Linked DNA regions of Rattus norvegicus. The protein of the gene in region 2 purifies or fractionates together with the protein of the main gene of each other region. This does not show direct contact. Links are inferred from orthologs where the notes say so. Each region holds a gene or a part of one and is shown on either strand. Other genes may lie near its edges.

What was found.
Region 1: the proteins of Arpc5l (region 2) and Actr3 purify together in Homo sapiens (affinity purification with mass spectrometry; 6 studies listed by BioGRID and IntAct, counting the BioPlex papers as one, with this or other methods). This does not show direct contact. The link is inferred for Rattus norvegicus from reciprocal best matches to the Homo sapiens genes ARPC5L and ACTR3.

What each region holds. Positions count from the first base shown.
Region 1 is NC_086031.1:39,388,655-39,404,905, forward strand, and holds the start of Actr3 (actin-related protein 3), read right to left. Parts: upstream 7,856-16,251; 5' UTR 7,771-7,855; coding exon 7,727-7,770; intron 1-7,726. UniProt on the Homo sapiens protein: ATP-binding component of the Arp2/3 complex, a multiprotein complex that mediates actin polymerization upon stimulation by nucleation-promoting factor (NPF).
Region 2 is NC_086021.1:43,162,728-43,178,978, reverse strand, and holds Arpc5l (actin-related protein 2/3 complex subunit 5-like protein), read right to left. Parts: upstream 9,378-16,251; 5' UTR 9,319-9,377; coding exon 9,170-9,318; intron 8,958-9,169; exon of another isoform or gene 8,777-8,957; intron 8,731-8,776; exon of another isoform or gene 8,441-8,730; intron 5,734-8,440; exon of another isoform or gene 4,732-5,733; coding exon 4,659-4,731; intron 4,130-4,658; coding exon 3,953-4,129; intron 3,580-3,952; exon of another isoform or gene 2,566-3,579; coding exon 2,503-2,565; 3' UTR 1,755-2,502; downstream 1-1,754. Other genes in the region: Rpl35 (large ribosomal subunit protein uL29), read left to right, coding at 13,097-13,099, 13,344-13,480, 13,954-14,194; Wdr38 (WD repeat-containing protein 38), read right to left, coding at 16,213-16,251. UniProt on the Homo sapiens protein: May function as component of the Arp2/3 complex which is involved in regulation of actin polymerization and together with an activating nucleation-promoting factor (NPF) mediates the formation of branched actin networks.

The DNA.
Region 1 (16,251 bases), on a different chromosome or scaffold from region 2:
CACAGGGCAGAACTTGGAAGCAGAAGCTAATCAGAGGCCATGGAAGGGTGATACTTACTGACTTGCTTCCCCTGTCTTGCTCAGCTTGCTTTTTAATCCAGAACCACCAGCCCAGGGATGGCACCACCCACAATGGGCTAGGCCCTCCACTCTTGATCATTATGCCTTAGAGCTGGATCCCAGGGAGGCATTTCCAAAAGGGAGGCTCCTCTCTCTGTGATAACTCCAGCTTGTGTCAAGTTGACACAGAAAACCATCCAAATACACAATTTCACTTAATTTATGAAAGTAACACAAAGTAAATGAATTCTTGAAGAAAAAAAAAAGCTTACAAGACACATAATAATTTCTAAACTTTAAACAAGCAAGTATTTGTTCTCTGGTTTCAACTAATACCAAAAACAAAGTTTACATTTTCACAGTTTAAAAATCAAGCCTAAATATAAGGTCTTTGTATTCTAAATCTCTCTTCTTAAAAACCCTTTATTTATACTTAACACTGTGTAGCTTGCTATAAGGTAGTAACTGAAATAAATTATCTTCTAAAAAGAAAACAAAAGCATTTAGGAAGAAAATGAAGGAATGTTCTGCATCAGCACATCTCTTGAGTGTTCAGGAACCTGGACGAAGAAGACACACAGTACACAAACTCACTGCCACTCCTCTACTGGTTTCAAAGAACTGGGATGAAAAGGCTAGTAAGCTGAAATTAAGGCATGGATCAAGAATGATTTGGGAGAAAAACTGAAACAACAACAAGTCATTAACATTTCACAAAACACCTCTTAAGAACATAAGAATGTCATCTATCATTTTTGCTCCAGTGATATTATGAAATGTCATTTTTGTGTCTTAGGATCTAAAGGCCCACATAGCTATACAACCAAATACAAAGTATATCATCACCTTTATTATAAAGAACCAAATCTATAACAGTAACATCACCTATATTACACTGCCTAACTCATGAATAGTTAAGGGCGTGGTGGGTGAGAGTGCATTTGGTAGTATTGTTAGCATTTAACTGTTTGTTCTTGCTTCTTTCTGCATAAGCCTATTATACACAGGTAGTGTCATTATAACCCTAACAAGTTCCAATAGAGTTACACACACTGAATGCTTTTATTAATTAGAGGAACTCTGTTGCAGGAAATGTTGCTAGAAGCTACATTGTAGCCATTTCACACATCTGCCTCCAGGCTAACATTTTAACCATTGTCACTTGTTGGGGAGTGGGATTTAGCACAACTGTAAAGATATTCCCCTCCTCTTAGAAAACAGGACTAAATAGAATGATGACTCACAAGCCACATGTGCTGGCTCTCTGGCTCCCATCATGACCTTCCAAAAGCTGTTTCACACTGTGTATTAAAGAAGTACTGATACTCAATCTCTCTGTTCTTTTCTCTTTGAATTCTCATTTCATTAGCTTCAGTCTACAAACTGCTACCATTTACTTCTGAATGTCTGACTTAAGGAAGCACCTGTATTTCTCATTCTTCAAGGACATACATGGCCAGCTACAGATAGCATTACAAATACAACTATTCTAATTCTACTGGTTCTTTTGTTGTGGAATTTTTTTTAACATTGATTTTAGTGTGTGCTGTCAGGCTAGGTACAAGTGCCTTCACCTACAGAACCATCTCTCTGTCTCCAAATTTAAAGATTCTTAAAATTAATTCCTAGGCAGAAGAGACTGTCCAGTAGATAGAGGCTTTTCATTCCTAGGGTCCACATGGTGGAAGAAGAAAACCTCCTTCTACTTCAAAGTTGTCCTCTGATCTCTATATTCACACCCCCAAAAATAAATGTTAAAACAAAACAAACAAACATGCAAAAACCTAACTCCTATATTATCCTAATCAATCAAGGTCACAATCTTGAAATCCTCATTCTTCTAGCTACATTCCTAATTCCAAATCCTAGCAGTACATCCTTCCATTCTCTTAGAGAAGCAAAAACCCACTCTGACTGCACCCAGAACTACAGCAGGCAGGCCAAGGTCTGTGTGAGATAAGAAAATAAGCACAAAACATGATATGATGTTCTTTTTCCTTAAAACCCTTTAATTCAAAAAATAATAAGAGGGAGCTAACTGATGATTATAATTGCAACAAACCATGATAAAAGTAAGGTAGGCAATTACAATTGCTAAATCATAAGTGAGAAAAGTAAAAGCTCCTGGACTCCAAGTGTCCAAAGCACTTCTATGTCAAAGGTCCTTCTAGCGCAGAGCTTGAATTAAGTTCTAAACACTTGACCAGAGTCCTTGCAAGCCACACAAAAACAGCATGCAACTGTGAAAGGGAAGGTACAGACAAAAGCAGCAGTCTTCTAAACTTCTACCTTCCACTCCATCCCTATCACCAGTAGCCAACTGCAAAATTGTACACTACTATATAATATCTACCAACAAAGCTGTTGTTGGGGCTGCTTTAGAATCATCTAGGAAATAGGGCATACTGGTTCATACTTGCAATCCCCACTCTTAGACGACTGAGATGGGAAGACTGCCCTAAGTTGGGCCACATAAGCTCCTGCCTGGCTGAGTTTTAGTGAGACTTGGTCTCAACAAACAAGGATAGAATCATCTAGGAAGCCCATTGGAACACACAGCGGTAGTCCCAATCCTTAAGAATCCACACACTGTGTATAGAGTATCTCTGATGCAGTTTTTTAAAACCATACTAACTAGGCTAGGCGTGGCAGTGCAAGCCCAGCACATTAGTGTTTGCTCAAGAGGTGAAGACAGAAATGCAAGGCCACCCTGGGCTACATGGAACTCATCTAGGAATCAAAAAAATAAAATAAAGATCAAAAACAAAGGCATATCTTAATTCCTGTTCACGTCCATTCACTGTGAAAAACAGGAGACTATTCAACACAGATCGGAGTTGCCGCTGTACACCCAGTCCTGTCCCTGTCCCTCTTTCTTAGATGCAGTGCAGTGAGTGATCTAAGAGCTGCGCTTTCAGCATTGTTATTACTCGGAATTTGGGGTCCCTATAAACTAGAACTCTTTTGCAACCAAAATTTTGTGGAAATATAAAACCTGGTACACAAGTATTGGATGAACATTAGTTCATAGTGTAAAATATAAAGTCACATTTTGTTATCAAGCAGCCTAAAACTCAAAAAGCAGGCAAGCAGCCTCACTTCCCATCAGCACTCTGCACAAACACACTTTTCTTTCCTTCCTTTTGTAAAATACTCTCCTGTGCAGCTACCCAGCTCCTTGAAAAGACTAAAATCTGACCTTCATTACAGCTTGCTTGACTTCCTGACTACAATCACTACTGCCCATAAAACCTGGAAAACAGCTATTACTATCTGAAAAGCACCCATTTAACGTTTGATTAGCTGCCAGTATTAGCTGGTTGTGGTGGCTCACAACAGTAAACCCAACACTCAAGAACCTGAGGGAGGAGAATCATTGGAAGCTCAAGGGCAGTTGGAGTCACACAGTGATTTCCACTACTCAACACTAAAATGAACATTCGCCAAGTAAAGATGTGCGGACAGAGGGGTATACTGTGGGACACACTGTGACACACTAGAGCTTTTACTACAGAATGTTTTCTATGCTTTTTGTTTATTTTGTGTGGGAGGGGGGAGGGTTTCTGAGGGGAGGCTGCAAGGGTGGAGAGCAGATACGGGGGACCGGAGATGAGTGGGAGTGGAGTGTAGGATGTGAAACCCATAACCTTAAATTTTTTTAAATTAGGATTAAAATTCATGAAGGCAGAATGTATCAGATAAGTATAAGTCCAAGAGTGGTTTACTGGGAAGTATAAAGTAAACTTCGACCATCCTCAAGTAACTAGTGAATAAATTAATCCCTCTCCAACTCAAAATACTGAAATTATCAAAAACTGTAGTGGTTGGTCCTCCAGGCTCCAGGTTGTACCCCAGGGAAGTGGTTTAACCTGGAACTTAAGTTCCTGTCTACATAACACGAACAGCACTGCTTAAGGCGAAGAGGAAGGTGAGGAGCTGATGCACGGCACTCGCCACAGGTGTTGCACATGGCTCTCACGAAATTCTATTTCCTGAGAACTTCTAAACCTGAGTCTTTTTTTTAAAGGAACAAGGAAATAGTCTAAAAATTCAAATCTTCAGGGAAAAAAATAAACCTCAAGAAAGACAAAAAAAAAAAAATTTCACCAGTTAATTGAATCGAATTCATAGGGTAGGATTATTTTTGCAATAGTACTGTAAGCAAGAATTAAGCTGGATTAATTTCACTAACAGAGTGATGTACAGTTTTCTGAAAGGAGGCTCAAGGAACCCTACAGGCCTAAATACAGAACTAAGTTCAAGCACCAAGTCCACCAGCTACTAACTAACTAACTTAAAAAAAAAAAAAAAAGCTGTCACAAGTTAAATAAGATAGAACAAGTTAAAATCCTGGCCATCAGGTTCACCAGTGGCCAGCCTTTCCACTCTAATCTTGAAAATAAAAATTCTAAACTGTGTTTAACAATAAACTTAAAGGTCACTAACAAAGCATGGCAGAGTCAGCATGCGATGCGTACTTCAACTGGACTTAGGACTTCGGCTTCCCAAAAGCAGCATGTCTGCTGCTCCAAACACAAGCTATCAACCAGAAGAATTGTAATGAATGTGTTATCAAGATAGTATGAATGCTCCTGCCTTCGATACTTCATAACACATTATGAAGAGAATCCAAGCAAGAATGTCAAGTTTCTCAAGTATGCCTTCATTCATCCATGGCTTCCACTGCTCTCAAACTCATCCTTGTCTTTAACTTCTAGGACCTGGCCACAGGATGTTATATAGATCTACTTTCACCAAAGCAAACAAAATGATTTGGGCTTACAGTTGGAAGACTGCTTTAAAAAAAAAAGGTAGATCTGAGAAATTCTGTAATGTATATAAATATATCCGAGGCTTGTAAACTAAGACTGTATATTAACTATTACTTAATCAGTGGAAATAAGCCACCAAAGCAGTTTCTGAGTAAAAACAAAACACATCGAGCAAAGAAAAGCCCTAATAGAAAAATGAGTGAAACAGGCAGACTGAAACTATCTTAGGATAACTTTATTACAGGAGCATTACATCCTTTTGAAGCTTTAAAACTTGCTTTTCTCGTTGGAGATGGCTCTCCAGCCTGTTTGACTGGGGTCTGAAGCAGGCCTTGTGCATGAGAATGAGGCACTTTTCCTAGCTACATTTCCAAGCCCTACATCTTTGTCTCTGAACAAGAACTTTATTCTACAATACTTGGCCAATAGGGACCAAAAAGGTATGTTGACCTGGTGATACAGATATGAAGGAAGTATTTCTTTCTTAATTCCTTAAGTATTTGAAAAATACTTCATGACCTCAACCTAGGTGGTGATGATGAATTATGCTGTAGGATTCTTAATTTAAAGTTCTAGAATTAAATCTCATGTGTCCTAACATTTACAGCTTGTAAGCCTGCCATCAAGTTTAACACACTACCACTTTTTGCCTAAATTCTTTAATGAAATGGGATGGACAACCTATAAATGGTCCACTTACTCTAGAAGAGTAATTGTGGAGACCTAAGAGGTGAGTGCATTGACTGGGGGAGGAGGGTGTACAAATTAAAGGGGTACATTTTGCATTTGGGAAACAGTTATTTCAGATGTAAAACTCCCTGCTAGTCATTTTTGGACATGCTATTTATCTTGGGCGCTGAGAAAGGACTTTTCTAATAAAGCTCAAGGTGAGAGTCTCTAAACTGCTGTCTAGTAGAGCCAACTGGTGGGATTGGCAGGGGAGAGGATGACACACCCAAAACCTTCAGAAGCAAAATAAAGAAAACTACAAATTGGGAAATTCAGACTGTGAGCAAAGGTAAAAACACTGAATAGAGAAAGTGACTTTAATCAGTTTCACCCATATCATAAATGAATATACAGCTAACCTCTCTTTGTAAGGTGAGATCAATATACAATATAGCAATGTAATGGTTTAGTAATTGAGATATTAGACAGAAATAGCCTAGGTATAAGTTGTATCACTTCTCCTGGTCACTCCAAATGTGTTTTTAATTCAAGGTTGCCCTTTCAGAAAAAAAGGTCACTTAAGGACAGCTAAGTTCAATGAGATACCAATTACTACTTATTCAAAAATAACCAAAACTGCATTTCAAAAGAGGAAAATAAATACATAAAAAGATTAAAGACGCATCCTCCTTAAGCTGCTACGGCATTATTTATACAGTGATCAATGACTATGTGGCTTTACTGACAGTGATTTCTAAAGCATGAAGCACTACATAGCACTATCTGTCACTTCAATAAAATACACTTGAAAAATCCTATTCACGCTAGCCAATTCTAATTTTTAAAATCCCTCTAACATCCAAGTACTCATCAATTAAACTACGAAAAGATAAACTTAAATATACATATATAAACACTTCAAGAGGGTGAGACCGGATTGAAAAAATCTAACTTTAATACGATGTCAACTAAGAAAATACATAGAAATTCCAAGGCTAAACTAGTGTTTTCCAAGAAATAAAAAATTAAGTGTTTTGTTGTTTCCGGCTGCCTAACAATTACATGTAAAGGCAGAGAGTTAAGATGGGAGGGATTTATACAAACTAACTAATGTCGTGGAAGAGGCATCCTTTAAATAACTGTGGTAGGGTGAATAAGAGGAAAAAGGTTGGCAACTGTCCTCAAAACCACTTATGTGTTTGGGGGATTCGAGATCAGACAGGCCTCTTCCTCCACCAAGTATTGCAACGTACAGCGTAAAAAATGTAGTCGTCTCTCTAGGTCACCACACAGAGCAAGTTCTAACTCTTGACTAGGTTCATTAATACAAACCTACAACTTTAAAAGTCACTTTAGCCAACCACACTACTATCAGAAACAATTGCTTTAATCAAACACATTCCTTTCTATCTCCTTTCAGCTTTCAAGACACAGTCACAAACCAAACTGAATGTTTAGGTTCCAGGGTGCGTCCCTTCTCCTCCCCATTATCTCCCTCCATGGACACAAGAACATTTTTTTTAGTTCAAACACACTGATACCTAGCACTCATAATCTACTCTTTATGCAACCTGCTTAATTTTGAAAGTTCTAATAAGACGTGTTAACGTTGGAGACGAAAAACTACCTTATAAGGCTATAAAAGACGGAAAGCAGGAAGCGGCTTTGACAAAACTAAGGAAGTTGCAGCGCGCTTGCTCACTAAGGGACTTTTTTTGAGGCAAGAGCAATAACCCCATGAGATCCTCCTCGCTGGAACTGACTTGGTTCAATGGGTAGTGGGAGATGGCTAAGAATGGGTGTGGGCGGAAAAGAGGCGGCGCGTGGGTCCTCTGCAAAAGCCCCCATTCTAGCTTCCCATTTTCACAGCCCGGTTCTCCGCTCTCCCCACCCACACGCCCTAGAGATTGAGGGTTGTCACCGCGATCTTGCAAAACCCGCAAGGAGCGCTTCTCTTTTTTCCCTTGGTCCTACGCCTGGAGATTCCCTGAGAGTCCCCTAGTTCACAGGCAGGAAGAGGAGAGATGGGAAAGGAAAGCCAGGTGGGCCAGACGGCCTTCCCAGAAGGGAAGGGCCTGAAAAGATCTTCGTCCCAGAAGGCTGAAGCGACCGAACCAGGGAGGCTCCCGGCACCACCCGTCGCCAGTCTGGCCGGCTCACCCCATTCATCTCCCTCCTCCGGCTGTCCCCAGACTCAGTTTCCCCACCCAGAAGACCCGCCGTACCCCGTGCCACAGTCCACCACACAGGCCGGCAGCCGTCCCGCCATCTTCCTCCTCGCCCGCCGCTGCCGTCCGTTCCGTGCTGCTAAGAGGCCGGGGATAGAGATGTGAGCTAGCTGACCATGCACTGGCCTGGGCCGCCCTCGGTCCTGAGGGAGGAAGGGAGGGAGCTGTGGGAAGCCCGAGCAGTAGCGAGTGAGCAGTAGGCTAGTACTTCCGCAAGCCCAGCAGGCTGGCCGGCCGGCAGGCTGTCCCCGCCCTGCCCCGCCGCGGCCTCCTCCTCCACCCCTCCGCTCTCGGCCCTCCTCCTCCTCCTCACTCCCGCCCCCACCCTACAACTTCTTCCCCTCACACTGCCTTTCCGCGGGTAGCCAAGATGGCCGCCGCTGCCGACGCCCCGGCCAGGCCAGGCCCCAGGCCGCGATCGCTCCCACTTCCGGTTCCGGGTGGGAGGGGCGAGTGCGCGCGCGCGCTGTAATGTGCGACCGCCGGGCCTCGGCTCCCTTCCAGATAACCAGAAACTCCACTTTGGGTTTTCAGATAGCTAGAAACCCAGTAGCCAAGCTAAGCATTAATGCTTTCCGAAGCGGCTGCACATGCGCAGTGGTGTGCAGCTGTGGGTCGAGGCTCCGGTTCCAACTTGCTAATATTCCACTTCACATTTTCTGGCCGGTGAAAGCCGAGAAGTCAGGCAGTTACTTAATTATGAAGCTGGCTTTTGGTAGTGGTGTGTGTGTGTGTTTCTTCTCTGCTAACTTGAGGAATGAACAGAAGGCTTCTCTACTGTGGGGAAACGTGGTCAGCAGCATGCCCCTATGATCGCTCTAGGTGTGCAGTCAGAAAAGAGATGAACAAAGGTTTGTGTCCTGAGATTTACGTCAGTTATACTATTACATTGTAGTTTCAAAGCTCACCCAAATGGTGGGCCTCTGCCTTTAAGAAGGCAAGGATCCAAGACGTTAGGTTAAACAGTAACAACAAACCCACCTTCTCCAGGGTTTGGGGATTCCTCTGTGTCATCAAGGAAGGCAAGTGTTGGATCAGGTAAAGGTGCTTGCACTCACTAACCTGAGTTTGATCCCTGGAGGTGCACACGCTGGAAGGAATGAAAAGACCCCCACAAGTTGTTCTTTGAGTTTGCACACGTTCTCCCCCTCACACGAAAATGTAAAACAATAAAAATAAAAAAATAAGCTTCCCAGAGGTTCTACATAGCCTGCACAGATGGCCTTTATTTGGGTTTTGGGGTGATGATAAACTTCCTCCAAGAGTAGTGAGATTGTCTCAGGCCTTTAAGAAAGGCCAGCCTCCCAGAGGTTGTGTTCTACATTATAGACTCTGTGCAGGTACCTGGCCTCTATTCAGGTTGGAGTGATAATGGATTTCCTTCTGTGTAATACTGTTAGCTTGAAACTTTTTCTAGTAAAAAAAAAAAAAAAAAAAAAAGAAAGAAAAAGATATGTGTTTTTTACATTACAGACTTAAAAGGCAATACTTTTAAAAACTTGAATACATCAGAGTAATGTAGAAAGTGTAAAGTGCTTTGCTAGGTCATATCTCAGGGGATTATGCAAAAATCAATGTGCAGTAGAACCTGAGAATTTACTTTCTCATCAGCAGGAACCTGGAAAGTTAACAGCTTTCCTCCCCAACAGACTTGTCTTTTATTTATTCTTTAGCATTTCCATGCATGTAAACACTGTATCTTGACTGAATTTTCCCAGAACCCTCTCTCTAGCTCCCCTGGATATCCCAATGTATTCTTCCTCATCATTGTCCTTTTACTCCTCCTCCTTCCTTCATGCCCCCTCTGTTTTGTGTGTGTGTGTTTTGTTTTTTTTTTTTATTTAGTTTTATGTAATCCACTGCATCCCATCAGTCTGGTCTGTTGAAACACTGACTGATCTTGGCTTGATCTTAAGGTGACGGTAACTGCAATGTCATACCTGCAAAATCTGTGTCACGTCCAGAAGACAGCATCTTCTGGTTCTTCTATTCTCCCCACCCCCTCCTCCATGCTCCCTCAGCTTTGTGTAGTGGTGAAGGTCGATACAGATGGACCATATAAGGCTGAGCATTCAGTAGTCACTTAGACCTCAGCACTCAGGCCAGGTTTGTATCTGCTTTAACTGCTAACTAATGCAAAGAGAAACTTCTCCACCCAAGGACAGCTCCAGTCTCTGTGTAGAAATATCAATGTTTAGAAGGTCTATTGAGTAGGGCAACAGGTTTCCCTATACAGCCTGTGACCTCCTAAGCCCTGGGCCTTTTGGACAGGTTTAGCATACTAGACATAAATTCCTTTCTGAAGAGCAGGCCTCAGAACTCATCCAGAAGTGTTTGGTCACCCCCGTTACCTCTGTGCCATACTGCACTGGAGAACATATTTTGAACAGGCTAATCTAGGTTTGCTAATATAAGACAATAATAATACATTAAGAAAGGATGTGTTTATTCAATACAGAATATTATGTTATCAGGTGGCAAACTGACCCGAGGGGGTAAAATATTGACTTTCCACTTATTATTGTTAATAATTTGACAGAAAAATATTTCTCACCTGCTCTGTATGGCAGAGACTATACTGACCCTTAATATAGTGGGGCAAAGTATAGATAAGAGGTGTGATCTCAGAGTTCTGCCCATGAGTAGAAAAACAGATTGTATTAGGAATCACAAAAAATGCTGAGAACTGTGAGGAACGGGTGAAGGGTTGGAAAACAGCGGAGCAGTCACACTTGAACAGCATAAGTGGTTCGGCCACAGATCTTAAGAAACAGAGGAAAGGAGGGAGGGAGGCCCCCAAGAAGAGAAAATGCAAGTATCTGACCTGAGGCAGCACTGGGGGAGGGGAGTCTAACTTCTTCCCCTCAGTGGTTAAAATGAAGACAGCCAAAGAGGATGTGATGAAAACGGAACCCTGAGAAAGAGGATGGTGCAGACATCAGTAGAGACTTCTAAGCATATTCAAGCTTATCCCAAAGCAACTTATCCAAAGAACTAGGAAAAAAAGGTTTGGCTGTGAGAGCTGAACTTTCTGGAAAGAGTAGCATCTTATATGGAACTTTCTGGAAGGCCGGTTAACTAATTAGAACTTCACTGACTGAGAGTTTGGAATGTAACAGGTCCAGGACCTAATTACTTTGTCCATGTGTCCTAACATGCTGCAACTAACAGGTGAAACCTTTTAGAATAGATTAACGTAATAGATCACGGGGTTCCATGAACCAAAAAAGGGTATGGGTGTCACTGGGACATTATCTGAGGCCTCACAGATATTTCCTCCACTTTGCTGAAAGCCACATCTCTAATGTTTCCACCAATATGTGTGTGTGTGTGTGTAAGAAAATCCTAATTTATGACTTATTTTGTTCTGTTACTATAAAAACATCCTGAGACTGTTACTAACTTGCAACACAAATTTAATGGTCATTGAAGTCTGTGTTCCTGGGCCATAGTTACTCATATTTGGCTCCAAGATAAACTCTAGTATGCCTTCTGAGGTGAGAGTCATATGTTTTGACTTGTCATCTGCTTTGTTTAGAGCTGATACAGTGGCATGGGGGGGGGGGTACATTGTGTTCTATGGTTCACAGGTAGAAAGCAGAAGGACCAGCCTTTCTTTGGGACCTGATATGTACAGAAGGACAGCAGCATCAGTTACTATGGAGTGAGTGTAGTCACAGCTGCTCATCTGAAGTAGCCCTAAGGGAAAGGTGTGAGATGTTGTCTTCACAGCAGTCCAGCAAGAAGAGTGGGTCTTCTTTCAGATGCCTCGTTGCTGGTTTTCCCCCATACATTTTAGAAGATGCTAAACGGTTTTCCCATGACTGGTTTTCTTCAGGGTCATGGGGGGGGGGGGTATGGAGAGAGCACTTTGGACAGAAGTGAGTCAAGCTGTGACTCAGTGTAAGTGGACAGGCTGTATTCAGCAGTTAAAGGTAGTTAGGTCGGATTGAAAAAAAATCCTACCAAAGTTCTCCTAAGTGTGGCATTAAGGGACTTCGAACTGTCAACAAGTGGAGCTGAGACTTGAGGTCCCAAAAATTACTTTCCAATATTCTAGTCTTGGGCAATTATCAAGAAGTAGTTACAACAAAGGCCAGAAGCTTTTAGCTTTTTGTTTGCTTGTTGTTCTGTTTGTTTATGCAATGTCTAAAGGAGACCACACTGTGTAGCCAAGGATTACCCTGAATCTATGATCTTCCTTGTCCACACTTCACAACTGCTATGATTACAGGTGTGTGCCTCAATGCCCCGATTATGTGCAGGTGAGGTTTAAATCCAGGCTTCACGCCTGTTTGACAAACACACTGCCAGCTGGACTACATCCCAACCCAAGGATCAGAAACTTCCAGTTCTGGTTTGGTTTGTGATGGGCGATGTGGGCCACCAAGAAGATGTGGCAACACATAGCACCCACACCGAACAGAAGGCAGTTGCTATGTGGGAATGCAAGCCTCATGTTACCAGAGACTTCCTCGCAAGAGAAATTTGAAATCTGTGTTTCTTTGTTAAGTGCTGTTGTTTGAGTTTATCCTCCGAAGTGGATATGTTGGAAGCTAACCCCCAGGTAGTGATATGGAAAGGCAGATGTTAAAGGTTGTTTTGAGGGCTCTGCCCTCATGAATAATTAATACTGTTGTCTTCGAGTTGGTTTCTGTATTTCATTTTAAAGCTTTATCTATTATTCATCTTTTTTTGTTTTATATATATATATACCTCTGTGTATGTGTACCACATGAGGTATCCACAGAGGCCAGAAGAGGTTGGCAGATTCCCTGGAACTGGAATTACAGGCAGTTGTGAACCATGCAATAATACGGTTGCTGCAAACTGAACTTGGGTCCCCTGCAAGAGCAGCAAATGCTTTTAAACATTCAGCCACGTCTCCAGCCCTCTTCATTTCTTTTCAATGCAATGTATTTTATTTATTTGATCGTCTCTACCCACAGTTCCTCATACCTTTCCTCCCTGGCGCCTCCAAACAGTGCCTCCTTATCTTCTGTCCCTTTTTCTCTTATTTGATTTTTGTAACCCTCTGAGTTTAATCAGTGCTCCCTGATGGCATGTTAACATAACTTGCTGGCTTGATCTTGTGCACGTAACCACGGTGTCGGTGAGTTCATGGGATGTCCAGAAGATGCTATTTCCCAGCATTCTTCTCATCTTCGAGACTTCACAGTCTTTCTACTCCGTCATCCAAAATGTTCCCCGAGCCTTAGGGAAGGGACAGAGTTAATGCAACAATCCAAATTAAGGGAAGCACTCAACAGTCACTTAGTCTCAACACTTGACCCTTTAGGAGTCTCTGCATCGGCCAGCTAACCCTGCCTCCCATGCTGTACCTAATGAACAGACTAAGTGGGGTTCCAGGTGGTGGCCATAACAGAGAAGCCTACCTGATCCCAGCTTCATTGTATTTGCCTGCCCTCTGCTCATTCCCTCAACTCCTCTACCCAGAGTTCTGAGCCCCAAGCCTGGTAGGACGAAGCAGATAAGTAATCTTCTGCTCTTAAAAAAAAGTTTGGGTATTCTAGTATAGCTACTAAAAAAAAAAAAAATAGACAAATGCAGTGTTCTATTTTTCTTTCTGTGGCTGTGATAGAACATTCCAACCAAAAGCAAGTTGGAGAGGAAAGGGTATATATGACTTACACTTCCAGGCCACGATCCATTTCTGAGGGGAGTCAGGACAGAAATTCAAGGCAGGAACTTTGAAACAGGAACCACAGAGCACATTTGCTGGCTTGCTTTCTGACTCATGCTCAGCTGCCTTTCACCAGCCTAGGAATGGCCTCTCACAGTGGACCCACTCACGTGCATAAATTAACCACCAAGACACTGAGCCAAGACCTGCCCGAAGGACAGTCAGGTGTAGGTAACTCCTATGACAAGGCTTTCCTTTTTGAAGAGTTTAGGTTATCTGGAATGACAGTTAAAGCTAGCCAGGACAGATCATCAATAAATCTTTCTTAGCGACCTTATAACTGGCCAGTGTGCTACCATTTTGTACTTTCCACTACAGAGGCCTCTGTGGTTTAGTTGTATGTGGCCTCCACGTATGAAAAAGCTTTGACAGGAAGAGGGGAAGGGCAGAAAGATGCTTCAGCAAGCAAAGGCATCTGACAAGCCTGATCACCTGAGTTAGATCCCTGGAACCCACACAACGGAAGGAGATAACTGATTTTTACATATGTACACACACACACACACACACACACACACACACACACACACACACACACACACACACAGGGAGAGAGAGAGAGAGAGAGAGAGAGAGAGAGAGAGTAAAGTAAACGTAAATACTTTTCAAAGACAAGAGGAAACAGCTAACATTCTGTTTCATATAGCTAAGCTTGTCCTGTGCCTGCAAAGGCAGTAACTGTTGGAAATGTTTAGAAGCTCCCAGCGCTCGCTAGAGATGTTATTTATGCTTGTTTTTCATACTCTGTCTACCCAAACATTTTGCTCGCTTAGGATCTCCTTTACTTCCTGTTTGCTGCTGGCAAAGTTGGTCAGCCTCCCTCAGCTGCACAGAGAACTTCCCATATACTTCCTGCCAAACTGTTTCTGACCACCCCGTTTACATATACACCCCTTCTGCCCCACGCTTCTCCAGAGACAGAGGCAGAGGGGTTCAGTCAAAAGATCCTGCAGAGACAACCACTAGAAGCAGAAGGAAAACAAAGGTGGGCTAATGGGGTTTACTTGATAACTCTGGGTTCACTGCTCACCCGAGACGCCCCAATTTCCTGTTAGCTTAGATCAACCAACTCTTAGCTCTTAGTAATTTCCAAGTCTGTTTGCCCACATTTCAAAGATCTTGTGCTCTCTTGTAAGTCCCCTCCAATTTAAGTTAACCCCAGCTGGTTCCCACAATCTATACAATTTAAGAACTGTAAGTGATATGGAAGTCCAAAGGAAAAAGTTGATTACAGAACAGTTAAATTTCACTGACTAGAAATCTTTTTAAGTTAAAGATTAGAAGAAAAAATAATGTGTGTGTATGTACTGGTGTGTGTGTGTGTGTGTGTGTGTGTGTGTGTGTGTGTGTGTGTACCAGAGATTGACATTGAGTATCTTCTATTGCTCTCGTTTATTTAGACAGTATCTCACTGAGCCTAGATCTAACGGGTTCTACTGTATTGACTGGCCAGTGAGCTCCAGTGCTGGAATAAGGGGATTATGGGTGTGAGCCGCTACACTCAGTCTTTTATTGTGGGGGATCCCCCACAATAAATAAAATAAAATACGCTGGGGATCCCCTAACTCAGGTCACCACCATGCACATGCAGCCAGCACTGGACTGAGTGCGCCTCTCCCTAGCCTAGGAAAACATAGCTGAAGTCACAGGAAAGTAGACACATTAAATACTGTGGAGAGTACTCATATTTTTCTTAGAAATTACTGTACATTAGTCATTAAAACTTAGAATTGGGGGAGGGGAGCTGGAAAGATGGCTCAGCAATTAGGTGTGCTAGCTGCTCTTCCAGAGGACCCAGGTTGTGTTCCCATCACCCACTTGGCAACTCGCAACAGCCTGCAGCTCCAGTTCTAGGGGACCTGATACTTTCATCTGGCTTTGTATACACCAAACATGTATGAGCTGCACGGCATATAAGCAGTCATATACTAAATAAAAATAAAATGTAAAAAGTCATCCACTAAAGAACCCCAAGTACTTGAAAGTGGGGCTGGAGACACGTTTACATACAGCCCAGACTACATGAGACCTTGCCTCATATTCTTAGATTTAGAAATCCCATTTTGGTGAATCCGAAGAGATGAAATTGCTGGTGAAGGGAGCGGCTGTGTGGCTCGGCTGGTAAAGTGCTGGCCTAGTATCTCTGAGGCCTTGGATTCCATGCCCCATGCTGCATAAAACCGGGTATGATGTCACACATCGGAATTTGAGCACTCCTAGAGGCAAGATGATAAGAGTTCAAGGTCATCCTCAGCTACTGAAAAGAAAGATGAGGAAAAAAAGAAGGACAAAGACAATATAGTTTGAGTTTGACAAATTAAAAAACAAAAACAAAACCAGAAACTGTCATAGTCTAACCTCTGGCCCAAGTACCAGTGTAAGCGGGTGCCTTAGTTAGGATTTCTATGACTGTGAAGAGACACCATGACCACCCTTATAAAGGAAAGTATTTAGCTTGGGCCTGTCTTATAGTTCACAGGTTTAGTCCATTATCATCATGGCAGCATGCAGAAAGACATGGTGCTGGAGAAGGAGCCGTGTTCAACAACTGGATCGACAGGCGACAAGAAGAGAATGCACCCTGGGGGGGCTTAAGCTTTTGAAACTAAGTGTTGCTAAGTGCAACACTTTCTCCAACAAGGCCCCACCTATTCCAGCAAGACCACACTGCCTAATAGTGCCATTCACTGTGGGCCATTCAAACACAAGAGTCTGTGAGAGCCATTACTATCCAAACCACTACACCACGTAAACCTCAGGGGCTCTCTTGTTTCAAAAAGAAGCAAGGCTGGGTCTTGAGGAACAATTACCAGGCTCT
Region 2 (16,251 bases):
CTCTCTGAAGCAGTAGTTTCTCCTGCTTTGCTCTAAATTCTCATATTACCACTGAGCCAATCATACTTAAGAACAACCTGCTGAATTCAACAGAAGCAGGCTGTCCCTCTCTACCCTCATTATTTCTAATGACACTACATTGATACGTAGCACCCAGGCAGCCCAGCTGGCTGCCACACTTGACAACACACAGATAGAAACTTATGTTCATTTTTACACTTGTTCTGGGTAAGCCACATCAGATCTTAAGGGAAGCCATTTGAGTTTAATGAAAGTTACATTAGCAAGTAAACTAGTAATTGGAGCTTGTAAAGTTACCATGTATCTAGGTGAATTTGTTCTTCAGCTTCAAGTCAACATATGTACGTACATGCGTATGTGTTATACAAAAACCCAAGTATTTGCAGCATTTGCCTTCTAAATCTAAATCGGGATGGCATTGCTTTGGCTGTGGCTCTTCTTTTTTTTTTTTTTTTTTTTTTTTTTTTTTTTGGTTCTTTTTTTCGGAGCTGGGGACCGAACCCAGGGCCTTGCGCTTCCTAGGTAAGCGCTCTACCACTGAGCTAAATCCCCAGCCCCGGCTGTGGCTCTTCTTACAGAAGTTTCCCTTTAGGGTGCCACTTCCCATTTAGTGGGACATGAAACCAGAGCCCCACTGTTGATTTTACAGAGGAAGAAGTAGCTTCTCCAAGTAGGATTACTTCCCTTCCTCCTGTCCCAGGTAAGAAATCCCAGAGGACTGAGCAGTCCAGGCAGCTGCAGTTCCAGCTGTGGAAGCCCTTTCTACACCTGAGGTTTCTCAGGCCCATGATCTGATGTGTCTGTCTGTCTCTGTCTCTGTCTCTGTCTCTGTCACACACACACACACACACACACACACACACACACACACACACACACACACACACCTCTGCCTGCCTGCAGGTTGCGGTGTGACTGTGGGGCCCACTTATTTAGAATGGCTTTCCTGCTGCATGTTGAGCTCCTCCAGTACTAGAAGAGTGCAGTAGCCATTCAAGTGGCTTCATGCACTTCTATAAACTTCGGTAAGAGACAGTGTGTAGCCCTTTATATATGAGCACTGGACTGTGATCTTACTACCAATGTAAATAGGAACAGTACTATCTAAAAACTGCTGTAGCAGAGTTATTTGTGGTGCAATACTTTTTGATTAAAGCTCTTCAAGATGCAACTACAGTGAGTTTTACTTGATAAAAGTTTGAGATGTGTTTATTTTGACCTGTCAAATCTTGTCTTTGGGTTTGTTTGTTTTGGTTTTTTTTTTTTTTTTTTTTTTTTTTTTTTTTTTTTTGAAACAGGCTTTCTCTGCATAGCCCTGGCTTTCCTAGAACTCATTCTGTAGACCAGGCTGGCCTCAAACTCAGATCCACCTGCCTCCCAAGTGCTGAGATTCAGCTTTGTACTGACTATCATATTTCAACGACTACAGATGTTTCTTTCAAAAGGAAGCAAGCTCCTCAGATTAAAGGTGAATAAATATGATTTAATGGCCCCGTGGGCTAGTTTTACCTCTCAAGCATGAGTGGTTCTACAGAGGATCTAGGACGGGCAGGGCCGGTGCACTTGAGCCAGCATTTAAGCTGCAGTTGTGATGCTCAGGAGCACTTGCTTTAGGGCTCATAGCTGACTGCCATTATTGGGGTTTAGAACAGACCCTACATCAGGAGACAGTGACCAGAACTTGCCCAGGCTACATCTGTAATCACACAAACGGATGACTTTTGAAGCCTCAATCATTAAAGGTTTGGCACTTTATTAAATAAGCTCCAAAATTACATACAAATCAAAAGAGTAAGAAAAATAAACACTCAGCAAAATGTCTCTCGGTAGCATCCAGCACCACTGCAGTTAAAGTATGGCATAGCTGTGGTATCACCATGCTCGCTTTCCCCGTCCCCAAGGATGGCAGGACAGGGACATCAGCTTTCCAAACCAAACTGTCATCATTCATTGCTATCCCTTTCTTTACCATTTAACATACAGAGAACACACTTCAATGAATAGACTAATAAGCCAAGAGCTTTATTGATGCAGCAGGCACTTTACAATGAACCCAAGAGAGCCTGCCTTCTCTGAGAAGACAGGATGTCTGTACAAACTCTCATCAGGTTTTTTCCACTTCAGAACCCAAGCTCTCCTTTTCACCACAGCCCTTGGGTCTGCACCTGCCCAAATAGTCCCTCCCCATTCCAAACAGACAGTGCTCACAGGTACACCTCACATAATCTGGCCAGTCAGCCAGATAGTCAAGTGTTGGTTCTGTGTTACTCTGTAGACAAAGGCAGACACTCTGGTCCTGCAAAGAATTTAGGAATCAATAAGACAATTTCTCCCTCCACCTCAAAAGTAAAATACATTCCAGCAGATGTGTCCTGAAGTATTTAGTTGGGAGTTCTAGGAAGATGGTCCATTGTCAGTCCCTTCTTCACTAGCCTGGGCATCCAAAATTCTTCTCAAGGTAACAGGATTCTTTTTTTTTTTTTAAACAGTCTTTCTTGCTGTAAGAACTCTTATAATGGAGCCTAGTCCTCCAACAGCTAAAGCCTGTGGAGACAGGAAAAGGAAACACGTCAAATGGTACCTGACTGGCCAGAAGGGAGCTTCACTCACCTGGAGATGAGGACACATATTCCCAGACCTCAATCCCACCATGTCACAGGCTTGCTGAGAGAGATCAAGTTCTAGGGAGAGCCCTGTCTTAGAGCCAAGGGTCCCAAAAGCTTACAGCTCTTGAAGCAATAAAACTGGCTTGGGATCACTGTCCCCAAGCATCCAACAAAGCCTGAGTTTCCCTGTAACATGCTCTGCTTCTACCTGCCAGCACCTGCCTATCCCTGGAAACACATGGCAGCCCATAGAGAACTACCTACTGACAGGGTGACATCAAAAGCACCTCACAGGGTTGAAAAGGCCTAACCGTCTCACCACCAACAGCAATTCCTGAACCCAAGCAAAGATGAAGCTTAAAAAGTCAGCACCCCAACAGGGCCAGAAGCCACAGCCCAACACTTTGCTGGAAACTGACCTACCAGTAAAAACAGCATTCTTAAAAACTCAGCGCTGCCAAGGGATATAGTTCAATACAAGATCACTTGCCTAACACATACCAGAACCCCAGTTCTGTCTCTACCACAGGAAAAATATCTCAGGCTGGAGATGTACTTCGGTTGGTGGAATATCCTCTCAGCAAGCATTAAGACCAGGATTCCATCCCCAGCACCATGTAAAATTCAGTATGGTATTATATGCCTGCAATCTCTATCTACATTAAGATTAAAAGTTTAAAGTCATCCCCAATTTAAAAACAAATTTGTGGCCAACCTGAGCTACATGAGACTTTATCTCATGCTGAACCACTGACAAGAACTGTGTTCATCAGTCTGGAACCCATAAGTGCTGGGTGTATTTACTGAAGTGTTACAGGGCTGCAGGTGGTGTGCAGCTGACAGACAGGACAAAAGTTTGACACATGCCTTGGTCCTCTATCCTTCAAGTAAAGGACAAAAAAAATTTTTTTGCTTCCAGTGAATGAAAGCTATAATAAATGACTCCAATTTCTGCCAACTGCTCCTTCTGGTAGGGAGACTGGGCCTGCAGTTTTAAGATGTCTTCAAAAACTCCTTTTCAGCAGCTCTCTTCCACAAGCAAAAGAGACATAATGAGGCACCAAGCCCCATCCTACCTCACCATACCACCTGCCTCTGTCCTATATCAAGGGTAGTTGGTCCTGCCTAGCCTAAAAGTCCACAGGTAAAAAGCAAAAATATGACTGTGAGTGTTAGAAGATCCTCACTAGGCGCTTGCAGGGTAAGGTGAACATTCAGTGTCAAAGTTTAGACCCACCAGACCATCCAGCGTCTGTTCTGAGTCTGGCCTCCTAGTGTGAACCCTGGGGGAAGTGCAAGCTACAATGGAACAATGCAGTCCGTACCTTTTCATGCCACTGGAGTAACACTGCACTGCTATTTTCTGTGGGCTTCTCAAACCCTTTATAAATGTACTTCATTAGCAAGTCAATGCCATTCCTGTCCAGTGACTGCACAGCCTGCTCAATCTCGCTGCTCTTGAAGTTTGTGAGTACTTTCAGGACTATACCCTGGGCTCGTTCCTACAAAGGAAGAAAAAAGTGAGTAAGGCCAGGAGCTGCAATCCTAACACGACAGAAACCAATAGACAAAACATGCCAGAAACACCAACCCTTTTTAATTCAACCCAGCTACATCGGTGAGATAAAACATCTTTGGCTTTAAATTTCACTTATTTTTACAAATAAGTGATTCCACTTACTGTGGAAAGAACAAGTGATTTACTATAGGTAATATGACTTTATATGATGTCAGGGCTTGAACCCAGGACCATACATATGCTAGGCAAGCCCTCTACCCACTGAGCTTAGCCCAGTCTCAAGCATTACTACTTTTGATACATCAACAAAGCCTTACACTTTACAGATTACAAAGTTATCAAGCTACCTACTGCACCAGTATCTGAGAAATAGCAAGTGGTTTCGGTGAAAAGGGAACGCCAAGTAGCAGCACACTCCCAGTGATGCAGTTACTGTCCAGACGCCAGGGAGTTGAAATTGCTGCTAAGGACACGAAGTCCTGGTCCTGACAGCTGCAGCACAACCTCTTTACCTTCACAGCTTGATTCTTGGTGTTGATTGGAGAGTTCCGCAAGGCTGCATGGAATGCCCGAAGCATGTCCCCTGTGCATCAAAGCCAGTTAAGGATGGCTAGGCTCAAAAATGTCCATGCTCTCATTAATGACCTCACTCCACAGACAGCTCAAGAACAGTTACAGGGATCTTATCCATACCACCCACTATCTCCTGCTGGCCTCTTGCAGGCAGAGGCTGCTATTGTTTTGACTTTTCCTGAGTCACAGGAAGGAGTAGATGACACCTCTGCCAACCTGCAAGCTCTTCCTGAAATATTTCCCTAAAGCTTCCTCCTCAAGAAACTGCTCTCTTTTGTGTTAGAATTTAATAGAGCCTGAAAGGAAGAGTATTAGCTTAGGACCCCCAAGACTGAGTTCTCAGCACAAAGATTTATTTGCCTCAGAGGGCAGAGAATAAGAGACAAACATAGGAGAGAGAAGATGAGAGAGAAGGGGAAAGAAGCCAGGGAAAGGGAGCAAAGGTTTGTCCCAGAGAACAAGGGCTGTCTCTGGATAGAGACAACAGATGGGATACATAGGAAAATGGTGGTTTATAAAGGTAAAATGGGCCAGGCAGTGGTGGTGCATGTTTTTAATCCCCGGAGAGGTAAGTGGATTGCTGAGTTTGAGGCCAGCCTGGTTTACAGTGACTTCCAGAGCAGTCAAGATTATACAAAGAAACCCTCCAAAAATAAAAATAAAGGTATAAATGGGAAACCCCATGTTAGGTTGAGGTGTTTCATTTTAACTTGGCATGTTAATTAGGTGAGCCAAAGGGGGCTTTTGATTGCTGGACTTCAGTACTTTGATAGCTGGGGCCTTGGTATTCAGCCTCAAAAATAGGAAGTAGCCAAATAAGGCCAAATAAAATTTAGGGGCTAGCTTCAGGAATGCAAACTGTTTTTAGCAAGGGCAAGGCCTGCCAGAGCCATGCTTGCCAGAGTCCCTTCAGAGCCGACTTGCACATCCTTAGTGCTAGGCACTGTCAGCTCTACAGGATCTTCATGGCAACTCCTGCACAAGTCGACTGCAAGGAGCTCTCACTCTCTCATCCTAAAAGGGAAGAGAAACAAACACATCTTAATAGTTCTGTGTTGTTTTCAAAGCAGGATTTCCCTGTATGCACCAGTCTGTCCTGGAGCTCATCTGTAGACCTTGACTTCAGAGATCCACCTGCCTCTACCTCCTGAGTGCTAAGAATAAATGTGTGCACCACTACCACCACCAGGCTAGACATAAACACATTCTCACTCCGTCTTTTATCAAACTGAAATCAAAAGAAATCAAGTATGTCAAGTATACCTTGCAGGCTAGGCCTAGTAGTTCATGTCTTTAAATCTCAGCACTCAGGCCAATTCATAGCCAGCCAGAGCTACAAGGTTAAAACCCGTCTCAAGGTGGGAAGGGGATTGTCTATCTTGCAATTCAGCATGGCATCACTTTGGCCCACAAAATGAGCCATTTGCTCCCTTTCCCCACAAACCTTAGATAGAATCCTAATTTCACATTCACTGCTGAGTTCTGAATAACCAGCACACAAAAGAAAATTGCAATCTAGGTTATGTCCCCAAAGGTTACACCTATTTTAAACTGAATTACATCAGCCAACTTTCATTTCCTCATATGAAAGACTGGCTTAAGCCAAAAAGCTTCAAAAATAGAACAAGGAATGACTCTGCCCAATCAGGTCTTTACTTTTGTCCATGCAGCAATGCCCATGTGTGAACAGCTAGCCTCTGGTGCAAACCTGAATTCCCAGCTTCCCCAGTGAGTGCCATCTTGAAAAGCTAGTCTGTACCACCAGGCAAGTCACTCCCTCACCATGTTGGAATGCACCTACCTTACAGGGTAGACAGATGCCCCTACTCTTTATCTTTAGTTTTGGATTCCTTTTTCCTCAGACAAACAAGGACTAGTCCTGATAAAGCCACTGATAACCCTCCACCCCATAACTTTTCTAACTTGGTATCCCCAGGCAATAAGCAGGTCCCATAAACCTAACAGTACATGGGGACTAACAGTCATTTTATTCACAAAATAGATAGGGAAGGGCAGAAATGATACAATTAGTCTGTAAGGATGAAAACATTAGACTCGGTACTGCAGCTTGCCAAGCAACCACAGACAACCAAAGGCCCACAAATGCTGGGTAGAATGGGGAGCAGAGAGGCACCTCTACAATCACACAATGTTTACTAAACTGGCCTCCATACCCAGATGGCTGCCAATAATTTCAGAGAACAGGCTATGGTAACAGAAGAACCCTATAGACCATTCTCAGACATGGCCCTAGAGCAATTTAGCAACCTCCCTGGTCTCTACCCTAAAGTTTCCAGTAATACCCCAAAACTGTAATAATCAAAATATCACCAAACATTGCCAGATTTCCTTGGGGTGGGGTGAAAAAAACTACAAAATCACTCAAAACCACTGTTCTACAGTCCTACTTGGGAAGCTGTTTCCCAAGAAAGAAAATGAGCTACAGTGGTACTTTAAAACTGCTGGAGTGGAGGAAAAATTCTCCCTGGAGGTCTTGGACCCAGGACCAGATGCAGTCACATTTCACCTTATTCTAAAAACCCTCCAGGACAAGAGCCTGACTTCTACCCTAAAGACAATGAAATTGAGTCAGAGGGGAAATTACCTGCCCAAGGTCACAAAGCTACATTCAGAGCTGACCTTCAAATCCAAGCCCTTTCTACCATCCCTTGCCCCTACTACAGCCTGGACCCAAGTTTTGGAGGATATCTGGTGTGTGTTCAGTTATGCTCCCGTTGAAGCGGTAAGACCAACACAGTTGTCTCTATCGTTTAAGAAGAGTGCTGGGGTTGAGAGGGTATGTGGTCAGCAGCAGTTAAAACAGGTTAGACTCTGTCTGTCCATGTAAGCACACAGTGGCTTTCTATTCCCACATTCTGCTCTTCCACAATGACAATTCCCAGCACAGCCCTGAGACCGCCACCTGCAAACATCCCCCAAATCTCTCTGCTATTCTCCCTTTAGACTCACATGAGGTTCTATAGACTGAATGCAATGATTGTCACCTGACAGGGACTCAATGATCCTTCTCCCTACCTGGGCCTAACATCCTGCTAGGGTTTCACTTCTAATCTGCTAGCCTCTCTTCTCCCAATACCAAGAGGTACTCTCTCCATGGTAACAAGGCTTCTGACACTGCCATGAGTGTAGAAGCCATCTCCTCTATGAGCTAAGCCAGTGCCTCTAAGCTACCTCCAAAAACAGAAGAAAAAGAAAAGAAAAAACCGTCAGGGCCTTCAATAAGTCCCAGCATCAATACCAAGGCAGCAGCTGACAGATCCCAGCCTCTTCATCAATATACTTAGGATTCTGGCCCAAATACATTGCCTTGTCAACAGTGACTGCACATAAACCAGTCTTCCCTCTAGGGGCCTTCTCATGACCCAATTTTAACCAACTTAATGGTGCAGGAAATACCAGTTTGAAATATCCACATTTGAAAAACACATTCCTGTTCAGTCTAAAAGGGTTGTTTTCAAGCTACATTAGAGGAGCACTACAGGACTCCTCCCAAAAGCTGTACACCTGACTTCCCAGGTTGAGTCAACTAAACCTGATTTATATACAGCAAGAGCTTTCAACCCTATCCTGGCAAGTACGGGGGAGGGGTACACACTTCCTGTCAAGCTATTTGAATAAAGAAAAAAATCTTCCTGTGAGAATAAATCAGTTTCCTGTGGTGCTCCAACTGCTAAGAGACCAAGCCAGCTGTGACAATCACCTCTATTTTTACTCTTCTGTTATAAATGCTTGTTTTCTGTGGCCACCAGCAGTCATTTTCAGTCGCAGGGAGCCACTTTTACACTTGACACTGTATGGTGTATTTTAGCTCTGAATCACTAGCTTTTTCCACGCTTTCTGCACAAGACGGCTAATGGCAGAGTCGCATTACTTGTTGAATGTACTCGGCCCATAAAGGCCCAAACCCCAACCTGCTGTGGTAAGTGGAGACAGGCGAGAAAAGGTAGCAGGCAATACCACACCTGTGGGATGGTCCTAAAGCTGCACCTCCCCCACCTCCGCCCTACAGTCAGTCTTCCTCCAACCATCCACCCACCTATTTTCGTGCTGGGCTGCAATCGGGCCCAAGAAAGCCAGTTAGACAAGCGCAGGTGGCCCTGGTTGCCCGATGAATCAAAGGTGGCTCACCTCGGTCCCTCTTGAGGACCAGCACCCGGGAATGACCCCGCTTACTACAAGGAGGGATAAAGGGATACCAAGGCCGATGCACAGTCACCCTGAAGGATGCAGAGCAAGGCCGAGAGTGAGACGAGCTCCTGGGCCGTGCTGCTGAGAAGGCGTGAGGCCACCAACGACGGACCCGGGGAGCCTGGGGCTGGCAGGAGCCCGGAGGGGGAGGGGGGAGGGGCGGAAGACCGGAGGACCGGGACTGGGGCTGGGGTGATCAGGGTGCGAAGGCCAAGCCGGGCCGCCACGCTGGGAAGGATATTGCCGCAGGAGCCCGTCTACCTCGCAGGGGTCGGGGCCTGGCTCGCCCGACGCCGCCGCCGCCTCTTCGTGCTCGTCTACGAATTTGTTCTCGTCAAATTCGTCGATATCCACTCGGCGGAAGCGTGAGGACAGTGTGTTCCGGGCCATGGCGGGAGCGCGGCGGCCGCCCAGCCGCCTAGGCTTCGCTCCGTACCGGCTCCCTCCGCACCGGCTCCGCTTGGGGGCGGGAAGCGGCCGCCGGGCACCTCCTCCCCTCCTCCGCGCGCAGCCGCCGTCGCCCGCCCACTTCCAGGATGCACCGGAACCGGAAACTCTTGTGGGCAGGGCTGCGCTGCAGGACTGTGGAAAGCTGGTGTAGTGCTGTCGGAGGTTGCAGGCGTAACTCTGTCGTCCCAGAAGCCGGACTGCAGTGCAAGGACATCTTCCGCCTCTGTCCGCTCCGGAGGAAGAAGTTTATGAGCTGATGGAGATGAGTGGTAGTGAACCGCAGTGCCGGAGTCTCTTAAACACTAACCGCATTGACCCACAAGGGACTTCTTTGTTAAAACTAAACGGCTCTAAAGGCGTTAATGTATAACCCGGGGCTGGCAGGACGCTTGGTAACAACTTTACTTGAGGATGTACCGACCCCTGCGAGCGTTCCAGAAAATAAAGATGACTCATGGCCACCTGTACTCCTAACTGAAGAGGCGCATTTTAGGAGGCGAAAACTACAGAATTCCCATAATTCGATGGGAGGAAGGTGGCTTCTAGGACGGACGCTTGGGATGCTGGTTTCTCTTTATTTCAACCGTAGGCTAAAATGAATCCTTTTTTTTGTAATTATACGAAAGCTATTATATTTTCACCTAATAGAACGCGAACAAAAATCAGGTGAAACATGGTTTTGCTTTACATAGTTCTCCTTTAACTTCAAATCAAAAACTTCCAGGCTGATGCACCCTAACCTTGGGATGCTAAAGGCAAGCTCCCATGGGGGCAAGTACACGCTGAATAAAGACTCAGATCCTGAATGTAGTCCTGCCTCATACCTAAGAAGTAATAGGGGCGCAAGTTAATCAGAAGATAGCAGGAATTCATATCCCCAGAACAACTTTATTATTTTTCTTAAATATTTTGTCTTCAAGTATTTTTGAGCACCACCTGGGTGTATTGCCTGCTGGAGGCCAGGAAAGGACGTGGGATCCTTTTGGAACTGGGATTACACAGATGGTTACTAGCCACCATGTCTTATGGTTATTGGGAATGGAACCCCAGGTCCTCTGTAAAAGCAGTAAGTGCTTTTAACTGCCCAGCCATCACTCCAGTCCCTCCCTTAGAACATCTTGGTCAGAAGGAACTTAATACCAGAAATACTGGTTTGACAGGTAAATAGCCTCAAATAAACTAATGAATGAAATAATGTTCTAGCTTGTGTTCATGGATGTTCATCAGGCAAAAGGGATTTTTGTTTTGTTTGAGACAGGGTTTCTCTGTTTTACCCTGGCTGTCTTGGACCTTGCTCTGTAGACCAGACTGACCTCAAACTCTGAAGATCCACCTACCTCTGCCTCCCAAGTGCTGGGATTAAAGGCATGTACTACCAGTGGCTGGCAGATAGGATTTTAAATCATGATATGAAATTTGATGTGGTGGTACACTCCCTTAATACTGATTCTCCGGATTAAGCCAAGAGGATCAACCATCTATGTGCATTTAGTGAGTCCCTGCCTCAGAACAAGTCCCAGGCTGGAGAGCTCCTGCTGCACACAGCCAGTAATGTGGCACATGCCTCTTATCCCAGCACTTAGGAAGCAATGGCAAGAGGTTCTTGTGAGTTCTAGATAGTTTGGTCTACATAGTTCCAGATCAGCCAAGGCTACACAGTGAAACTGTCTCAAAATTAAAAAAAAAAAACAAACAAAAAACTTGCTACTCCTAGAGAAGACCTAGGTTCAGTTCCCAGTTCCCAGCATCTACATAGCAGCTCTACCTCCAGGGTGATCCAGTCACGTCTGTTGGCACTGCATGTGCCATGTAAAAATAAATTACCTATAAGTTTTTGTCTTCAAATATGAGGATGTAACCCCAATACACTGGGAATTAAAAATACATTGTGAATCCTGGGTTTAATCCTAGCACCACAAAAAATTTCCAGAAATATGTATAATCATAACTCTAGTAGAATCCTGATCATCTGGTAAGTTGTATCTTTAGACTTCCATTTAAAACTAATCCACAGGGTTGGGGATTTAGCTCAGTGGTAGAGCACTTGCCTAGCAAGAGCAAGGCCCTGGGTTCGGTCCCCAGCTCCCCGAAAAAAAAAAAAAAAGGATAAAACTAATCCACACTCTGCTCATTTCCTCTTATCCCACTTACAAAAGGCTTATTAATTCATTCTATCCAAGCAGGACCCACATCCTGGGCCTAGAGAGCATTAAACCCTCAGAGACCTTCAAGACTGGCTCTGGAAACAGGCACACAAACACATGGCTTAACTCATTTTGGTACGTAAGAGCACTTAGGATACAAGGTTAGGCTGCTACTCTTGGGGTGGGTGGTGACTAAAAAAATGTTCATTACAGTACCCTGAGTCCCTGGTCGGCTATCAGCATCATGTCTTGAACAACAGCTGAGAAACTGATGGGAAAAGGGCAGCTGCAAGAGCTTGGCAAAGAAAAGGGCTCTGATTGGTCAGTTTGGTCATTTATTACTGAAACCTAACATCTAGTCTGCTTTGCTCTGATCTACATGCTGGTGGTCTGTCTGGGACTGTGGGTAAAGGGCTATGTGCTCTTTAACCATGTTAATACCAACTGATACTTTCCTCGATCTTTACCTATCAGGTCTTAGCTGGGAGCTTCGAAAGTTTTGTTTAGTTCCTCTAACCCTCAAAAAAATACACTTAACAGAGACGCGAAGGGACTCGCCAAGATCAACTAGTACTAGCAATAAAGCAAGGCTCTGATTTTGTTTCGGAGTTTTTATTTACTCATATAACAGCTGCCGGGGACTGGACACAGCTTTGTGCAAGCCAGGCAAACACTACCACGGAACCAAACTCAGCACGTCTTGGAATCCTTCATACAATCAGGGTATGAAGGAGGCCTGAACTCCGGATCCTCCTTTTCCACTGCCTGGGCGCTGGAGTCACAAGACTGATTCCATGCCCAGACCTAAAGCAATAATCGGAAATGCCAAAAAATCTGGGGATGAGATTTGTACTACGTCTCCATCAGTTTTTGCTGGAGTTTGACTCTATTGTGACCCTTGCCAGGTGGTGTCGAACTTTCGATGCCAAACTTGGGTACGAAACAAGCCCAGGGTATATATAGAGGCCTTGTACTAAAAAAAAAAAAAAAAAAAAGATAGCGAAATGGTTCCGTAGAACCTGACCATCTGCATTCGAGCGCCGAACGGTGGAAGAAAACAAACTCCCACAGGTTGTTTTCTAACTTCCAAACATGCTAGTTGGCTCGCTCTCTCGCACTCGCACGGGGCATTGTGGTAAACGCCTGTACTTTAAGCATTAGGAAGGGATTTAAGGTGAGACCCTGTCTGAAACTCACATCTCAAGCCCTCCGCTCCCTGACACGACCCGCGGCTAGCTCAGACCCGCACAGACCAGGGAACTTCAGGCTTCCCGAAAATGCAAGTTAACGGAAGAACTGCAGCCTTCACGGCGCTATCTTCAGCCAGCCAGGAGCTGCTCATCCGGAGACTCAGTTTCCCCAGCTGCGTTGCTTAGAGACCAGCCAACCTCAGTACCGCAGAATTCCCCGGAAGCGGAGGGCACCACTGACGCGACTGCGCACAGGCAGAAAGGGCCTCCCACGCCGCAACGCTATTGGCTGCGCTCGGCACCAGTGGCTATAGTGGCGGAAGTCGGCCCCGCCCCTTCCTCTTTCTCTCGAACCGGGCGGCCTCATCCGCGAACAGCGCAGCAATGGTGAGGCAAAGGGAATCCGGTGCCATCGGGCGCCGGGAACACGTGGGGACAGCGGCACGGGGTGCGGGGCGGGCGTGGGGGACTCAGGGAGCCGCAGGGCCTGCGAATCTGTATGATTGTGCCTGGTTCGGGCCGGCTCTGACCGCCTACCCTTGCTTGCGCCGCGGCCACGGTCCCTCCTTGGTCGGCCGCGAAGGAAGCGAGAGCTCCCGCTCAGTGACCCACAGAGACGCTTCTCATGCAGGCCAAGATTAAGGCTCGGGACCTGCGCGGCAAGAAGAAGGAGGAGCTGTTGAAACAACTGGATGATCTGAAGGTGGAACTGTCCCAGCTTCGCGTGGCCAAAGTGACAGGCGGCGCCGCGTCCAAGCTCTCCAAGATGTAAGTGGTCCTTGAGGCCCTCGCTGGGGCTTTCCCTGCCTTAGTGCCTGCGTCTTTTCCCCCCAATTGTCCTTGGCGAAGAACTGGGTGAGAGAGTAGGGCCTTCCTGAAAAGGCCATGGTGGTGCCCCCTCACATGGGTTGTAGTGAGACTGGACCAGGGGAGGCTTGCAAGAGACAAAATATGTGCTGAGACCATGTGTTCCAGTCACGGACGTGATCTGTCATCACCATGACCAAAATCAACTGTTGTCGGCCTGAACCTTCAATTTGTGATTACTTAACACTTGAAGGCATGGCCTCAGTTTTTGGCCTGAGTGTAAAGGTCTTTCCTCGTTGCCGAATCTGCGTTAAGTCCCCACGTGTACCTCTTGACAAACCTGTCCTTACCTCTGGGGTTTTTACCTCCTGGGTGATAGGAGGGACTTGAGTTGTACGTGCCTGCCTGATCTTCACTGCCGTTTATTTTTATAGACGAGTCGTACGCAAATCCATCGCCCGTGTCCTCACTGTCATTAATCAGACTCAAAAGGAAAACCTCAGGAAATTCTACAAGGTGAGCACTGGGAGACTGGGCCCTCTGGCTGAGTTTGCACAGTTACCAGCTTTCCGGACTGACATGGATTCTTGGTGTCAGAGGGTCAGAAGGGAGGGTGGACTGGGCGCTAGCTTTGGGCTCAGCTGTGTGGTAGATGAAACTGGGACCCTAGCCTGAGGTGAAGCTAGCTGTTTAGTGTGTCTCACTGTCTCAGTATGTCTGTCTCACAGCCAAGCACCTTCTGTTCCAAGACTTGGAGGTTGGGTTACCCATGGACACCTACAGTTGGTAGACAGGGACCCCCCCCCCCCAAGTTTCTCTTCAGAACCGTATCGTGAGGACATTAAGAGTATTGCTGGGTGGTTGCAAGATGTTTGTCATAACTGTTAGTGCTTTCAGATTAACGTGTTTTTACTAGGAATCGACTCCTGTAGTTAGCTAGTCTCCAGAAGGATTGGGGTGGGGAGCCATGTCATTTTAAGATAATCCCACTTAATTGAAGCCATCTGGTGGTGTCTTGAATTACATCTCTGCAAATTTTACCTAATGTTGGGGTTTGGCATGTCAGAAAGTTGTCTGTCTGTGGTGTGACTCAACCGCCCAGGAGGGACATTTTGGATTAGACACGTCTGAAGTACAGTTTCTTAATTTCGGAGATGCTAGAGCCAAGATACCTATCACTCGGTACTGATGTGTGGGGACCTTACCTCACCCCTGAGCAGTGGAACTTACCTTGAACTTTTTTGTGCTTCATTGCTAGTGCTGACACATGTGGCTTTTCAGCAGTGTGTCTGTGTGTCTGTCCGGAGACATCAGTGTGTAAACCTGCACTGAACTACCTCCAGTCCACAAAGAACCAGGGTGGGCTCTGGGTTTTTGCTTGCTTTTACACCAGGTAATCTAGAACTCACAGAGGCCCCTCTGCCTGCCTCTCTAGCTGCTGGAGTTAAAGGCACCGTGCTGTGTGGACACTTAGACTTGATCTTTGCCATCTGTTCACACTGTTGGAGAATGAACAGGACATAGGTGTGTTTGGCTGCTCTGTGGAGAGAACTCTAAGTGGATAAGTGACGTTGACATGACTGAAAGCCTGCCTGGTGTGGCTCCTCACCTTATCCTGTAGAGCTTTCTAGGGTCCTCTGTCCACCTGCAGGAGCTTGGTGCATGGGGATGTGAACCCATTGTGCCTGCCCCTTTGCAGGCAGGAGTAGGCACTCCTAGGAAGCCCAGTTACACATTTTCAGCAGGCCGCTGAGCTTGTTTTGGAGGCTGCTGCCTCTTGAAATTCTTGGTAGCGCTGCTTCTCCTTATCATGTAAGGATCTGACCCACAGGACCTGGTCCCTGAGGGAACTAAGGGACTGTCTTGCTTAGAACACCCGGGAAGGGCTAGGAGATAGAGGAAAGTGAGAGCTCCCTTAACAGCTCAGGGTGACTTTGACCAAGCCTTCTGTGGTCGGTGTTACCTAGAGCATTGATGAGCCATGCCTGGTGGGTCAGCCAGGCAGTAGCTACACAGAGCCTGTGTGTGTGGAGTGCCCTTTCCATTGTGCTGTGACTTTCTACTTAGTCACTAGGTGATGCATAGGAAAACTGAAGCCTAGCCCCCTCTTGGCCCTTGTAGTCTTGAAATTGGGGAGCTTGGTGTGCAAATTTTAGGCCTACCACCCTCTGGTACTTTACTGACAGCCCCCAGCTGTCTCAGTGCCCTGCCATTTGCTCAGAGAAGTCCAACTTTGTGTCCTGTGTGCTCACCTGCTTCCACATCTTCCCAGGAGCCCCCAGTGCTCAGGCTCACCCTGTCATTTCTGTCCCAGGGAAAGAAGTACAAGCCCCTGGACCTGCGACCCAAGAAGACAAGAGCCATGCGCCGCCGGCTCACCAAGCATGAAGAGAAGCTGAAGACCAAGAAGCAGCAGCGGAAGGAGCGGCTGTACCCACTGCGCAAGTACGCAGTCAAGGCCTGAGACGACGACAATAACAATAAAGTCCAAAACTGACGAGCTCTCTGCTTCCTGTTTGACACTGGCCGCCCAGGGTCCAGGGGGTGAGGTTAGGTGATCGCTTGCCTACAGCAGGTGACAACCACCTTACGGGATAGGCTAGGTAGTCCCTGCCTTGGAGATCTGGTGGCTTAGTTACCTTAGGCCTGTGGGTAAGTTACATGGATGAAGTTCTTGACTTTCAGCAGACTTGTCATCTTGTCGCGTCAGCAATCCCTGACACTAAGAGTTT